Mus musculus: one gene and its partners. The protein of the gene in region 2 purifies or fractionates together with the protein of the main gene of each other region. This does not show direct contact. Links are inferred from orthologs where the notes say so. Each region holds a gene or a part of one and is shown on either strand. Other genes may lie near its edges.

The links. The genes of interacting proteins can lie anywhere in the genome.
Region 1: the proteins of Prmt1 (region 2) and Serbp1 purify together in Homo sapiens (affinity purification with mass spectrometry; 3 studies listed by BioGRID and IntAct, with this or other methods). This does not show direct contact. The link is inferred for Mus musculus from reciprocal best matches to the Homo sapiens genes PRMT1 and SERBP1.
Region 3: the proteins of Prmt1 (region 2) and Alyref purify together in Homo sapiens (affinity purification with mass spectrometry; 3 studies listed by BioGRID and IntAct, with this or other methods). This does not show direct contact. The link is inferred for Mus musculus from reciprocal best matches to the Homo sapiens genes PRMT1 and ALYREF.

The regions. Positions count from the first base shown.
Region 1 is NC_000072.6:67,265,672-67,269,778, forward strand, and holds the start of Serbp1 (plasminogen activator inhibitor 1 RNA-binding protein), read left to right. Parts: upstream 1-1,307; 5' UTR 1,308-1,425; coding exon 1,426-1,738; intron 1,739-4,107. UniProt on the Homo sapiens protein: Ribosome-binding protein that promotes ribosome hibernation, a process during which ribosomes are stabilized in an inactive state and preserved from proteasomal degradation.
Region 2 is NC_000073.6:44,983,621-44,987,792, forward strand, and holds the start of Prmt1 (protein arginine N-methyltransferase 1), read right to left. Parts: upstream 2,801-4,172; 5' UTR 2,699-2,800; coding exon 2,663-2,698; intron 514-2,662; coding exon of another isoform or gene 460-513; exon of another isoform or gene 154-459; coding exon of another isoform or gene 115-153; intron 1-114. UniProt on the Homo sapiens protein: Arginine methyltransferase that methylates (mono and asymmetric dimethylation) the guanidino nitrogens of arginyl residues present in proteins such as ESR1, histone H2, H3 and H4, FMR1, ILF3, HNRNPA1, HNRNPD, NFATC2IP, SUPT5H, TAF15, EWS, HABP4, SERBP1, RBM15, FOXO1, CHTOP, MAP3K5/ASK1, MICU1 and NPRL2.
Region 3 is NC_000077.6:120,595,566-120,599,776, forward strand, and holds the start of Alyref (THO complex subunit 4), read right to left. Parts: upstream 2,801-4,211; 5' UTR 2,774-2,800; coding exon 2,540-2,773; intron 2,202-2,539; coding exon 2,070-2,201; intron 503-2,069; coding exon 355-502; intron 156-354; exon of another isoform or gene 43-155; intron 1-42. Other genes in the region: Anapc11 (anaphase-promoting complex subunit 11), read left to right, coding at 3,695-3,803. UniProt on the Homo sapiens protein: Functions as an mRNA export adapter; component of the transcription/export (TREX) complex which is thought to couple mRNA transcription, processing and nuclear export, and specifically associates with spliced mRNA and not with unspliced pre-mRNA.

The DNA.
Region 1 (4,107 bases), on a different chromosome or scaffold from region 2:
TGTTGTAATTTCTATCAGGACAGAACTTGGTTTACAGAATTGATGTCAACAGTCTCATAGTGCAGCTAGAAGATTGCCACTAGCACTTAAGTGTGACCTTAGTAAGTTTTATCAATTCTGACAGTTTCATCCCTGTGAGAAAGGGATAGTTATTTATCTAAAAGGATGTGAGGATGAAACATTCGTAGCACCTGCTGCCTGAGGTATGTTTTCTATTACATAATGTATCAATGGAAAAGATTTAAAATTATAGTGTGTATTGGCACTGGATTGTCTTAGTGGGATTTAAGGTTCCCAACTAATGTCAGAGTTAGCATATAATTACGAAATTAGTTTCCTCCCTTCACACATAATACCCAATGTACTATAAAACATTTCCTCTTGAGCACATTTGGGGAGCTGGAGACAGGGTTTTTTCTTATGAAATCCCTGCGGTCCTGGAACTTGCTCTGTAGACCTGGTTAGCCTTGAACTCTGCCTCCTAAGTGTTCAGATTAAAGGCATGCGCCACCACCCCAGGCTCTGGAGCACATTTTACTAACACCGCTGACCAGATACCGACAGATCAATTTATCGCGTTGATTCTAGAAAGCGTTTCCACAAACACTGTTTTAGAGGATGGCCGAGCGTGCAGTTGTGCAGTCAGGACTTAACAGCTCTTAAAGCATGGTTGCAATGACCGGAAAAGGCGCGCAACCCAATTAGTTCAACTCCTCTTTTGGATTCCTTCTGCCACGCAGATTCAACCCTGGAACTCCGTTCCACATTAAACCGAATTGCCTTGATTCGTTACGAAGGGTGGAGGGACAGCTCTAGAAATCCAACAGTCAGGGACGAGCAGCCGTGCGGTCGCAACCTACCGGAGGCTACTGTGGCACCCCCCACCCCCCGGAAGTTTTTGAGGCTCCAGTTACTAGGTCTGGGAGTCACCTTGACCCTCCCAGAAAGGTGGGGAAAGTCCTGGCCGGAGACAGAATGAGTGAAACCAAAGACAGAGAACACTTTCGTGAGCAGAAGACGCCCTCACGTTTTCCTGTTCTCAGAGGTATCTAAAGACCGAGAGTTTAAGGGTGACAAGAGCAGGTGGCAGAACTCCGCCCCGTACTCGCTTCCCCACCTTCAGCGAGCACGCTGCACACTTTCCTTGAGATCCCGCCTCTCAGGCGCGCGCGAAGAGTTGCTGCGCAGTGCACGCTGGGAGTTGAAGTTCAGGAGTAGACAGCCATCCCGGGCTAATCAGTTGTGGCCTACAGGCCCCATGGTGCCGTGCGGCGCAGGCCGCTCCCGGATGTGTGCTTGGCGCCGGAAGAGAAGGCGGCCCCCCTCTCTCGGCCCGGCCATCTTGTGGGAAGAGCTGAAGCAGGCGCTTTTGGCTCGGCGCGGTCCGCTGCAATCCGTGGAGGAACGCGCCGCCGAGCCACCATCATGCCTGGGCACCTACAGGAAGGCTTCGGCTGCGTGGTCACCAACCGATTCGACCAGCTATTTGACGACGAATCGGACCCTTTCGAGGTACTGAAGGCAGCAGAGAACAAGAAAAAAGAAGCCGGCGGGGGCGGCGTTGGGGGCCCCGGGGCCAAGAGCGCGGCTCAGGCCGCGGCCCAGACCAACTCCAACGCGGCGGGCAAACAGTTGCGTAAAGAGTCCCAGAAAGACCGCAAGAACCCGCTGCCCCCCAGCGTCGGCGTGGCCGACAAAAAGGAGGAGACGCAGCCGCCGGTGGCGCTTAAGAAAGAAGGTAAAGCCGGGCGAGGCGGTGGGGAGCCCGGGCTGGCGGGCAGGACGGGGGCGTGCGCCGCCGCTTGCTCGTGCAGGCGGCGGGGCCGCAGAGCCCTCGGAGCCCCTTCACGGTGCGGGGAACGTGGCTGGTCCCAAGTCCACGCCGCTCTCTCGGTCGCTTGCTCGCTCGCAGGCTCGGCGGGAGCCTTCCTTCCCGCCTCGGGCGGACGGAGCGTGCTCCGAGAGGGCGGCCCGGGCGTTCCCGCCGATTCCTGCCGGGCGCTAGCCTCCTGGCTCTAGGCGCTCGGGAAGCAGCGCGGGCATTGCTTCCTGCCCGGCGGGCTCCTGGCTGCCGCTGCCTGCTGTGGGCTCCTGCCCTGCCATCTTGTCCCACAATGGCGCGGACCCTCAAGGAAAGGCCCGGGCTCAGAGTTTCCACTTGGGCTGCGTCTCCGTTTGGGGGTCCCTGTTAGAGTGGAGGGAGGGAGGAGTTGCTGTTTGGGTCCCACGTGTGTGTTTTGTGTTGTGCCCTTTCGCTCTTACGTTAGAAGAAGTTCCTGTAACTTACTGGCGAGAACTAAAGTGTTGGAGAGGAGAAGAATTTAGCCCCACTCATTTTAGAGGGAGTTCCGAATAAAAAACTGGTCATTAGTGGAACCCATCTCATGTCTCCATCTCTTCTTCCAACTAACTCCCTGGAGCCCCCAGGTCATAGGGCTTTGCTTGTTCTGGGCCTCGTGGGCGAAATGAGTGCCCAGCCTGTCATGTCCCGGCAGCAGAACTCAGGCTGCAGCTTTTCCTCCGCACGTGCGTAAAGCGTGGTCGGGTCTTCATTGGCGGCTAATGGTCTCTTCAAGGGCACTAGAAGTTTCATAGTTGTTTTGATTTTAGCATTCTTCTCCATTACTGGCTTATTGTGGATGAAAAGGCAAAGCAATTAGGGGCTAAAAAAGTGAAAAATCAATAGCGAGTACATATAGAATAACCTGTGAATCTTTAAAATTGGTATTATGTTAAAGTGCCTCTCAATGCCACGTGCTCATGAAAGGAATTGTTTCTCATTAGATTGTGTTAGGTTTGAAGTTTTTTGGGGGTGGTGGTGTCTTTCAATGAAGGCTTAGAGTAAAACATCCAGTTCCTAGTAGATTTATAAAAGGGAAGAGTTCTATTAATATATTTGGAAGCATAGTCTGGAGTGTTAGAAAACATCACTTGGGCAGAAGTACTGAGCGGATTAAGCTTCTTGACATTACATAGTTGAATAAGACATTTAATTTCTGTGTTAGGGACACTAGATAGTGTTATTTAAACTACTAAAATTTACCTCCTTTATGACTGTAATTCACAGAAGTACATGAATAAGTTGAGTAAATAAAACACATCACATAGATGAACTCAAAAAATGGTCAAAACATGAAGCATGATTTTAAATTATTCAATTTTCATCACAAAGCCAATTTATGATCTTGCCTGTAAACTAGCATAAGTCATCAATGGAGGACATTTTTATTTATAGCCAGGATTACGTTTGTCATTTACTTCAGAAAACTTTTTCACAATAGTAGTCAACCTTTTTTTTAGTTACGTCCAAGTCTTCCATGGGTTGTACTGGGTATTGAACTTAGAACCTTGTCCTTGCTGGGGAAAATTTTGCATTACACATCTCAAACCCTTAGATCACTCTTTAAAACCAGAGTTGATTTTAAATAAGGTTATATATACATATGGGGAAATTTTGAATAAAACTTCCAGTTAGTGCTGTGTGGTGGTGGTTGGTAGACTTGTAAACAAAGTACCTATCTGTAAGAGTGGAAACAATTGTTAACCTATGGTGTGTCCTGTGTCTCGGGAACACAATGCTGGAATGTAATGTTTTTCTACATAAATTTTGATGCATTTGTCTATTTGAAGAACTTGAATTGGCAAAATGTCATTAAAAGTAGACCAGGTTTTTTGTGTTTAGCAAAAAAAGAAAAGCAACTCTGGATATTAGTGCAGTTAAGAAACTCATGTATCTGGTAAGTACAGTAAAAGAACCTTGTATGCTTTTTAAAAAATTTTTTTTCAGTAGATGAATTTATATTTTGTGGTAAAAGTGGCCGAACCCAGCATTTTGCAAACTAAGTGAAAGTAGCTCTCACTGAGCTACACTCCCAACCACTTGATGAGTTTAGTAAGTTTTTTTCTGATTATGTAGGCCTCATACTGAATATTGGGTGGGGAAGCAAGCCATTGTTCCTTGGGTGTGTTTAGCTTGGTTATCATTACAAGTTCTGAGCTGGTTCTATAGCTCCACCCCAATACACTATACCTCTGATGAAATTTATGTAAATGCCACGGCATAAGGGCTACATTTAAGGCTTGCCCTGAGAATTTACAGAGACTGAG
Region 2 (4,172 bases):
GGGTTCCCCAGAGTCTCCTCAACCTGCAAAAAGCCCCTCATCATACCAGGACAACCCTCCAGCCCCCTCCAGCATCTTTCTTCCCCAGGTCATGTTTCCACTTCCAGGACCCACCCAGAGCACCATCCAGGGAGCAGCCGCCTCGCCTACCATCTCTCCAGGCTCTATGGCCTGTCTCTAGCTCAGCCCACAGCTGGGGAGGGAGGGAGAGAGGGCAGAGCCAGGGCAGACACATGGAAGGGCAGGGGAGGAGGGCTGGAGATGGAGTTAAGGAAGCAGCCATGGTTCTGGGGAAGCCAGCTGGGGCCAGGAAGGGCTCTGTCCTAAGGGGTTAGGGGGCACAGCAGAGGAAACTGGTTGGAAGCAAGAGGACGGTTAGACCTCTTGGGGAGCCAGATGTATAGCAAGTAAGCTTATGTGGAAGTGGGCTGGGTGGGGGTCTCACAAAAGGATATTTACTTCTTCAAGAGGCGGCTGGAGGCTCATCCCATTAGCCAAGGTGGCTACAAAATTCTAGGAGAGAGTAACAGGGAAAAAGGATTAGCTACGGGGTGATTGGGGAAGGCCTTTGGGGCGGTGAGTGGTTTGTAGGTTGGCTTTGCCTGGGCAAGGAAGGGAGTGTGTGTGTGAGCAGGGACAAGCAATGAGGGAGGCTGTGATCGGGTAGAGAAGGATAGGAAGGAGGGAAGGGAAGGTCTCCTGTCCCAGCTGTTGGCTGAAGAGATGGTGGCCTGCCCCCTGTTGTCCTTCTTTGGTCCAATGACTGGCCATACACACCTACCCCATCTAGGCCACAAGACCCAATACTTGCCAGGGCACATGGGCACTGCCCAGCTGTTGCTCCCCTTCACTACCTAATCCCCCCCCAAGAGATTAGGTGACATTTCCTGACACACATGCCAGGCTGAAGTGCCATGAATAAACTGGAGGGAGGGGTAGGAAGGGAAGGGTGCTGTCGCCTGTCCTAAGAGGATTCCATTAGAGAGACGTAGCACACCACCAAAGCAGCAGGCATACCACCAACTCACACCCACACCAACACACAGAGGCAACCTGACCTCTTTGGTTTCCCTGCCTTTCTGAGGAGGTATCATATATGCCTTGGAAAACTGGGTCCAGCCCATTCCCCACCTCACCTGGGTTCCCACACTGGAACAGCCTTTTCTTTTCTCTGTCCACAAGTCCCAGGGCCCAGGGTCACCATAGTGACCCTGTAGGCTAACTGATCCCTATTTATGGCAGATTTCCCAGCAACTGACCTTCCCCTCCAGAGAACTTGAAGAGGTATGGGCCCCATCAAATTAAATACCATCAATGACTGCCACCCAAGGCTTCCAGAGAAACGTCACAACCTAACCAAGCTCTCAGCTCCCCACAGCCTGGGAGGTGAGATTCCCACGTGGGCCCCACTTTTTCAATAGTACAGACGGACACCAGAAGGTTGACAAATGACTGAAGAGAGCTTGAAACCCATGTCTAGGACCTGCCTTACAAGCCTGATGATGAGCTACTCAGAAGTCAAAAGAAAATGGCAAGTTCAAGGCCATACTCAGCTACAGGGTGAGTTCAAGGCCAAGCACATTTTTTTTTTTGAGGCAGGGTTTCTCTGTGTAGCCCTGGCTGTCCTGGAACTCACTCTGTAGACCAGGCTGTCCTTCAACTCAGAAATCTGCCTGCCTCTGCCTCCCAAGTGCTGGGATCAAAGGCGTGCGCCACCACCGCCAGGCTCAGGCACATTTGTTTAATTAAACTAAGTAAAAAGTAGACTGAGGAATACAGCTTAGGATCGAACAATCAACGATAAGCAGGTAAGCAAGGCAGATGCTAGAATTTCATTCTGTTTTGGGGGGAAATTAGGCAAAAAGGCGGAAATGTTCAAAAAGGGGTCCCTTGCCACATTCAAGTTGGTAAAAATGGAGCTCTGTGGAGGTTAAGGCCCATGGCCATCCGAACTCCTTTATCCCCCACCACTGACCTCTGACTATCCATCCACCCGAGGGCCCTCCCATGAAGGGGTGGGCTTGGGCCACGCCCCATGAAAAAAGACGCCCCTCTCACACGCCCATAGTGACCACGAGGGGGTGCCCGGCGACGGATCCGGATCTCCTCGGATGAGATTCCCCACCATCTCCTTAAAGAGAGGTCACAGGGCTATGCCCATCCCCCCCCCCCCCCCCCCCCGCTGCACAAGGCTAACACAGAGTTGGGGAAAGGGAGGCTGGGGACTGATGTTCTCAGGCCCCACGCGGGTGCAAAGAGCCCGGGCTGCATGGACATCCACAGCCGAGCCAGGGAGAGCGGGTGGCAACCCCTGGACCCCTTGAGTGCAGCCCAGGTCATCGGGCTGGGGGCGGGGCCTTTGTCCTGCACGTGGAGCCCACGGGGCCCCTCGAGGCGGCACACCCCCCTCCCCACGCTACTCTGCGAGACCACGTGCGGCCCGGCTGGAAGCGCCCCCGGCCCGCGACCACGTGCGACAGTCCTCGGCTCGGCTGCGGGTCCCAAAGCACCGAAAGCCGAGATCTCTCCCGTCACGATCGAACACATCCCCCGATGCGGACCAACGCGAAGCCAGGCACATCAAAAGGCCCCGTCCCCACAGTTCAGGCCGTGGGCCACCCGTCTCGCGCCGCCCCCGGGCCTAAAGAGCCCAGCTACTCACCTCCATGATGCAGTTCGCGGCCTCGGCTGCCGCCATCTTCACCCGAGTCCTCCGGCCTCCGAGACCCCCCCCTCTCTCTTTTCTCCCCCCGGCTCGACCGGGGACCGCCTTTTACCAGAGGGTCCTCAGCCCAGCCCCCGATACCCCGCCATAAGTTCTCATTGGTCTGTAAAGCCGTCCATCTGAGAGCTTCATATTTCAATTGGATGACAGACACGCCTATCAAACATAAAGTGCCCGCCCCCCTAGCGTTTAAAGGCCCGCCCCCTCCTGTCCGCTAGGAAGAGAACAACTGCCTGTCTGTCTCACCCAGCACGTGTGACGATTGGGTAAAATTCACCAGATCTTCCCGCCCCTTTCTGGCCAGCTCCGCCCTGGAGCTTCCCGGCGGGCTCCGCGCTAAGCGGACGTCTAGAAACTGACTTGTCTATCATTAAGCTAATCCCCTCCTCCCTCGTTGATATTGGCTGAGCCAAAGGTGACGTTCGCGGCTCTAACGCCACCCTGTTTAAGCGACAGGCCTAGAAGAAGAGGGGCCATTGGCCCATAAGGAAGCAGGCAGAGCTTTGGGCAGCAGCAACTGGCTCTTAGGAATGTCAATCATCACCATTCTGTGGATTCCTCTCCCCCATACCCCCTACCCCGGTCTTGGATGTTTTCTGGAGGAACTGGGGAGCGTGGGCGCGTTAAGTTATAGGGAAAACCCCAATTCCTGAGACGTGGATGAGGGCGCATTCTAGTCTGTGATTCCGAAACCAGCCATGATTCGCTGTGAGCTTCCCACCCCTGTGCTGGAAGGCGCCAAGTTCTGAACACCTGTGGCCTCCTCGTGGCCTCCAGGTCCTCTGCGGGAAACACCCAGCGTCCTTTGTCTGACCAACTCCTACACGTCAATCACCGGCAATTCGGACGCCACCTCTTCCAGGAAATTTCCCTGAATCTGCAGAAAGTTACTCCTTCCCTGAGGATGGATGTCAGTTGCTGGATTCGTGAACCTTCCCTTTGCCTTCAGTCCCACCAGTCTATGGTCCAAACATAAGATCCTTTAAACTCCCGTATGAGCCCTCCAGTGGGAGCTTCCGCATAAGGTACGCGAGCACATCTGACCTGTTTCCTTCCAACGCCTAACACTTACTTTGTATAGTGTGAGCATGCATTCGTGTGTGCCTTGCACGTATGGAGGTCACAAAGCAATGAACAGGAGTCCTTTCTCCCACGATGTGAGTGTAGGGAATTGAACACAAGTCGTCAGGCTTAGCGGCAAGCACCTTTACCCTCTGCTGCAGACCAACACTTACAATCTGGTAGATCTTTTGTTTGACTGATTCTCACTGTGCCTTGGGCCTGGAACTCGCCGTGGAGATCAACCTGTTTTTGTCTCCCAAGTGCTGAGATTTAAGGCCTATGAAAATCTTGCCCAGCCAATATGGTCCCCCTTTTTTTCCCGTTTTTCCTCGATAGTGTTTCTCTGTGTATCCTTGGCTGTCCTCTTACTCATAGATCCGCCTGC
Region 3 (4,211 bases), on a different chromosome or scaffold from region 2:
GGCAGACAGGTGTGGGTGACCTGACGGAAGAAGAACAGGTACCTTTGTCTTTACGACTACAGCCCCGCACTCAGGTTGTACTATGGCGGTTCTGAGAAGGCTTCACAGAAGTGAATCTTCCGGAAGGAGCTCAAGGAGGGGAGGGATGTAGCTTGCTGGATGGGGGTTCACAAGAGGTTGGTCCAGATGTGTGGGGCAGCATGAGAGGTGGCAGAATGGAAGAGAGAGACAAAGGGGCAAATGCAAAGTATCCTCAGCCAAGGGGGGGGGGGCAGCCCAGATTCCTACAGGGAGAGGTGCCAGCCCCAAACTCCACACGCCCCACAGGCATCCAGGGCCCAGTCCCAGACTCACCATCCAAAGGGACACCATTGTACTGTTTCATAGCCTTCAGGGCATCTGCTTTCCGTTCAAAGTGCACATCTGCTGTCCCTAAACTTCGTCCAGAGCGATCATAGTGCACAGCAGCTTTTTTCAATGTCCCAAATTCAGCAAAGAGTTCCTGGGAAGGGGTAAAAATTAGCAATTAAGCCAATTTCCTTCTTGTAGCTCAGCAACACTTGCTGTAAGTCCTTATGCTTTAGAGGTACTTGACTGACAGCCACCCAGGAAGAAGGCAAGGCAGTGGAGATTAAGAGCTGAGGGAAGGGGAGACAGCAACTGTCGCGAACAACTGGGTTACTGTCCACTGTGGGACAATGTAATTACACCATGCTGTAGATGAGGGAAGACACAAAGTCCTATCACAGGACAAAACTACAAAACTCTCTCTCAGCAGGGGTACTTTCAACTTGACTAACTGCGTTTCACTAAATACCAGAGGCCAATAGTAAAACTGTCCATTGAGCAGACAACGCAAAGGGCCCAGTATTTTGGGGAACTGTGACACAGCCCCTACTGCAAAGGCAGGTTCTAGCTCACCTTCCCCTTTCCTCCTACTGCCTGCTGCTGCCAAGTCTGAAGTGAAATGCAGCATGGAACCTGTCCTGGCTGGGAGTTGGAGAGGGAACCCACAGAGTAAGGCACTTCAGCTGCAGGCACACAGTGGGGAGTACAGCTAGCTAAAGCAGTTTCCAGTGGATGCCAGAAACCACCTTTAAAAAAAAGTGTTGAGACAGGCTGGAGAGATGGTTCAGGGGTTAAGAACACTGGCTGCTCTCTTTCAGAGGACCTGAGTTCAATTCCCAGCAACCAATGTGACTCACAACTATCTATAATGGGATCTGATGCCCTCTTCAGGTGTCTCTGAAGAGAGTGACACTGTACTCAAATCCATAAAAATAAATAAATAAATCTTAAAAAAAAAAGAAGTGTTGAGACACTGTGAGTGCTCACCAGCCTTGTTCTTTTCTCCCATGGGGAGGTCAAACAGCTGGGCTCTGGGGAACGGTACCCAGAAAGGCCCAGCACACCTGACTCAGTTCTGGCTATATCAAAGCTAATTCCCAAAATTATGCCTTGTAACCAGAGAACTCTAAATGCCTCTGAGGTCCAGTTTATAAAGAAATTTAAAAAGACACAAAATCCAAGAAGGGAGGGGAAGAGAAAAAAAATATTTCGAAGGCATGGAGAACCATGACCCAGGTAAGACCCAGGAAAGATCGCCAGTTAAGATCCAGCACAGAGACGCAGGCTGGAAGATACTCTCAGCCACCTTTCTCAGCATCTGGGAGATGCTGGACTTCCTTCTCCTATCAGTTCACCATATCGAGCATAAATCTGAGAAGCAAGCACCTTTCGGTCATGCTGGGACCGGAGTTGTGGCCAGTCTGTGCAGGTTAGAAACTGTAAGCTCTGGCACAGGGCAGGCGCTCACAGTTTGGACAGCAGACAGGACTCATTTTTAGGGGGGCGCGCGCACACACACACATACACACACAGTGTGTGACATCTTCCTGCAGCCTGGCTTATGGGGTCGTGCTCAAACCCTACTTTTTCTGAGGCCAAGGCTCTCAGGGTGACAGTGGCTGGCTCTGGGCAGCCTAGGGGAGGGCAGGTTCCAATCTGTAAAGGATCCTGGAGCCCACGTCCGCGTGGGACGAGGAAAGCGGAGAGCTCCCGTCTCCTACCTGAATATCAGCATCTGACACTCCGAAGTCCAGGTTGGACACCAGCAGCTTCCCGCCGGTCTCCACGCCGGCTCCACCCCCGAAGCCGCTGTCGAAGAGGTCGTGCTGCCATTTGTCGGGAAGTTGTTTCGGCTGGAGAGAAACCGTAAGCACAGAGACACTCGTGAGACTCGTCCCGGGAGCCCGCGACACCTCGGCGACGCTCTCCCGTCGGCCCCGCGGCCAAGGTCGAGGAGCCCCGAGAGTCCCCCAGCCCCGCCGCTCCGCTACGGACACCCAAGTTCTCTCGCAGCGGCCCCCGCCGCCACGAGGCTGGACCACGACCGGACAAAGCGTCCCGGAAGATCCTGGCCTCGGGACGGCCTCGCCCCCGCCCACCCCTCGGCCGCGGTCCCGCGCGGGACGCTCACCCGGTCCCGGCCGGCCCGGGCGCACCCTCCCCGGCCCGCGCCGCAGGTCCCCGCACTCACTCTGCTGTACGGCGCCGGCCGGTTCCTGCCGCCGCCTGCGGCGCCGCGGGCGATGGCGGGCCGGTTCCTCATAGGCCCGCCGCCTCGATTCACCCGCGCGGCGGCCTGCACTGCGCCGCCGCGGCCGCCCTGGGAGCCGGCCCTGCCGCGACCCCGGCCCCCGCCGCGGCCTCCTCGCTGGCTCCGGTTCAGCTTAATGATGTCGTCCAAAGACATGTCCATTTTGTCGGCCATGGCGGGCGCGGATTCGGGCCTCGGATCGAGCCCGCGCGTCAGCACGCCGCGGCGTCACTTCCGGCGCCTCCCCCTGCCTTCCGGCGTCGCGGGCCCGAAGCGAGCGGCGATTGGTCTGGGCGCGCGCGATTCCGCAGAGCGCCTGCGTACGGCTCGCCGCGGTGGCTGGCGCTACTTCGGAGGAGCCCGACGCGGCGCGGTCGTTTTTATACATTCCCGCGCGGAGGCAACGGAAGGGCGGGGCGCCTCGTGATTAGGCCGCGGAGGTGCGAGGGCGAGCAGGGGGCGGGGCCTGCGGGCGCCTCCCTGGGAGGCCGGAAGATCCTCGGGCGTCGCCTGGGTGCAGCGCAGTGTGCGCGTCCCGCGTCCCTCCTCACCGTGCGATCGTGGGGGTCCCGGCCGGTCCGTGGGTCCGACTTGGTTGTTTTTGCTCGAAGGCTCGGTCTCCTGACGAGCTGGCGTCCTCACCCCTGCTTTAACTTCGCGGATTAGTGACAGTCACTCTTTCCATATCTTTAAAAGCGAGGCCCTGGTTAGTGAAAACCAATGTTTTGCGTGGATGCGGAGGTTTTGTTTTTGTTTTTTTGTTTGTTTTCGTTTCCTGTTTGGCTGATCTGCTTCTGCCCCGGGATTAGAGGCGTGTGCCACCGTGCCAGACTACATGAGTGCAGATCTTTAAAGGCATCCTTAAAGGTGGCAAAATAAACTCGTGCCATTAATCCCACAGGCTCTCCTTGCCGTCTTTAAAGACAAACACGTGCCTTTTTCTTTCTTTTTGGTCGGGACGCACGGAATTTTGGAAGATGCCGTTCTTGACGAGTGCAGCACTTGCCGCAGCTCCATGACTTTGAGCTTAGGTGCTTTCGTATTCCGTACTAACTCCAGGTCATCCTCTTCCCTCAGGTCACAGGCTCTGTTGTCATGAAGGTGAAAATTAAATGTTGGAATGGTGTGGCCACTTGGCTCTGGGTAGCCAATGATGAGAACTGCGGCATCTGCAGGATGGCGTTTAATGGCTGCTGTCCAGACTGTAAGTGTCTTCCTATGCGCTCTCAGAACTTTAGCCTACTCCACCAGCCTAAAAATCCCTAGGTTTCCCAGCACTGGGTAGGCAGAGACTGGAGGATCTCTGAGTTTGAGTTTAGCCTGGTCAACAGGACAAGTTACCTAACCCTAACCGAAACCCCACCGGACAGTGGTGTTGCACGCCTTTAATCCCAGCACTCTGGAGGCAGAGGCAAGTGAATCTCTGAGTTCAAGGCCAGCCTGATCTACAGAGGGAGTTCCAGGACAGCCAGGGCTACACAGAGAAACCCTGTTTTGAAAAAAAAACAAAAAACAAAACAAAACAAAAACAAAAAGCCAAACAGTGCAAGTTCCAGGATAACCAGGGCTACAAAGAAAAGCCCTGACTTGATAAAAGACCAGGTAAAACAAA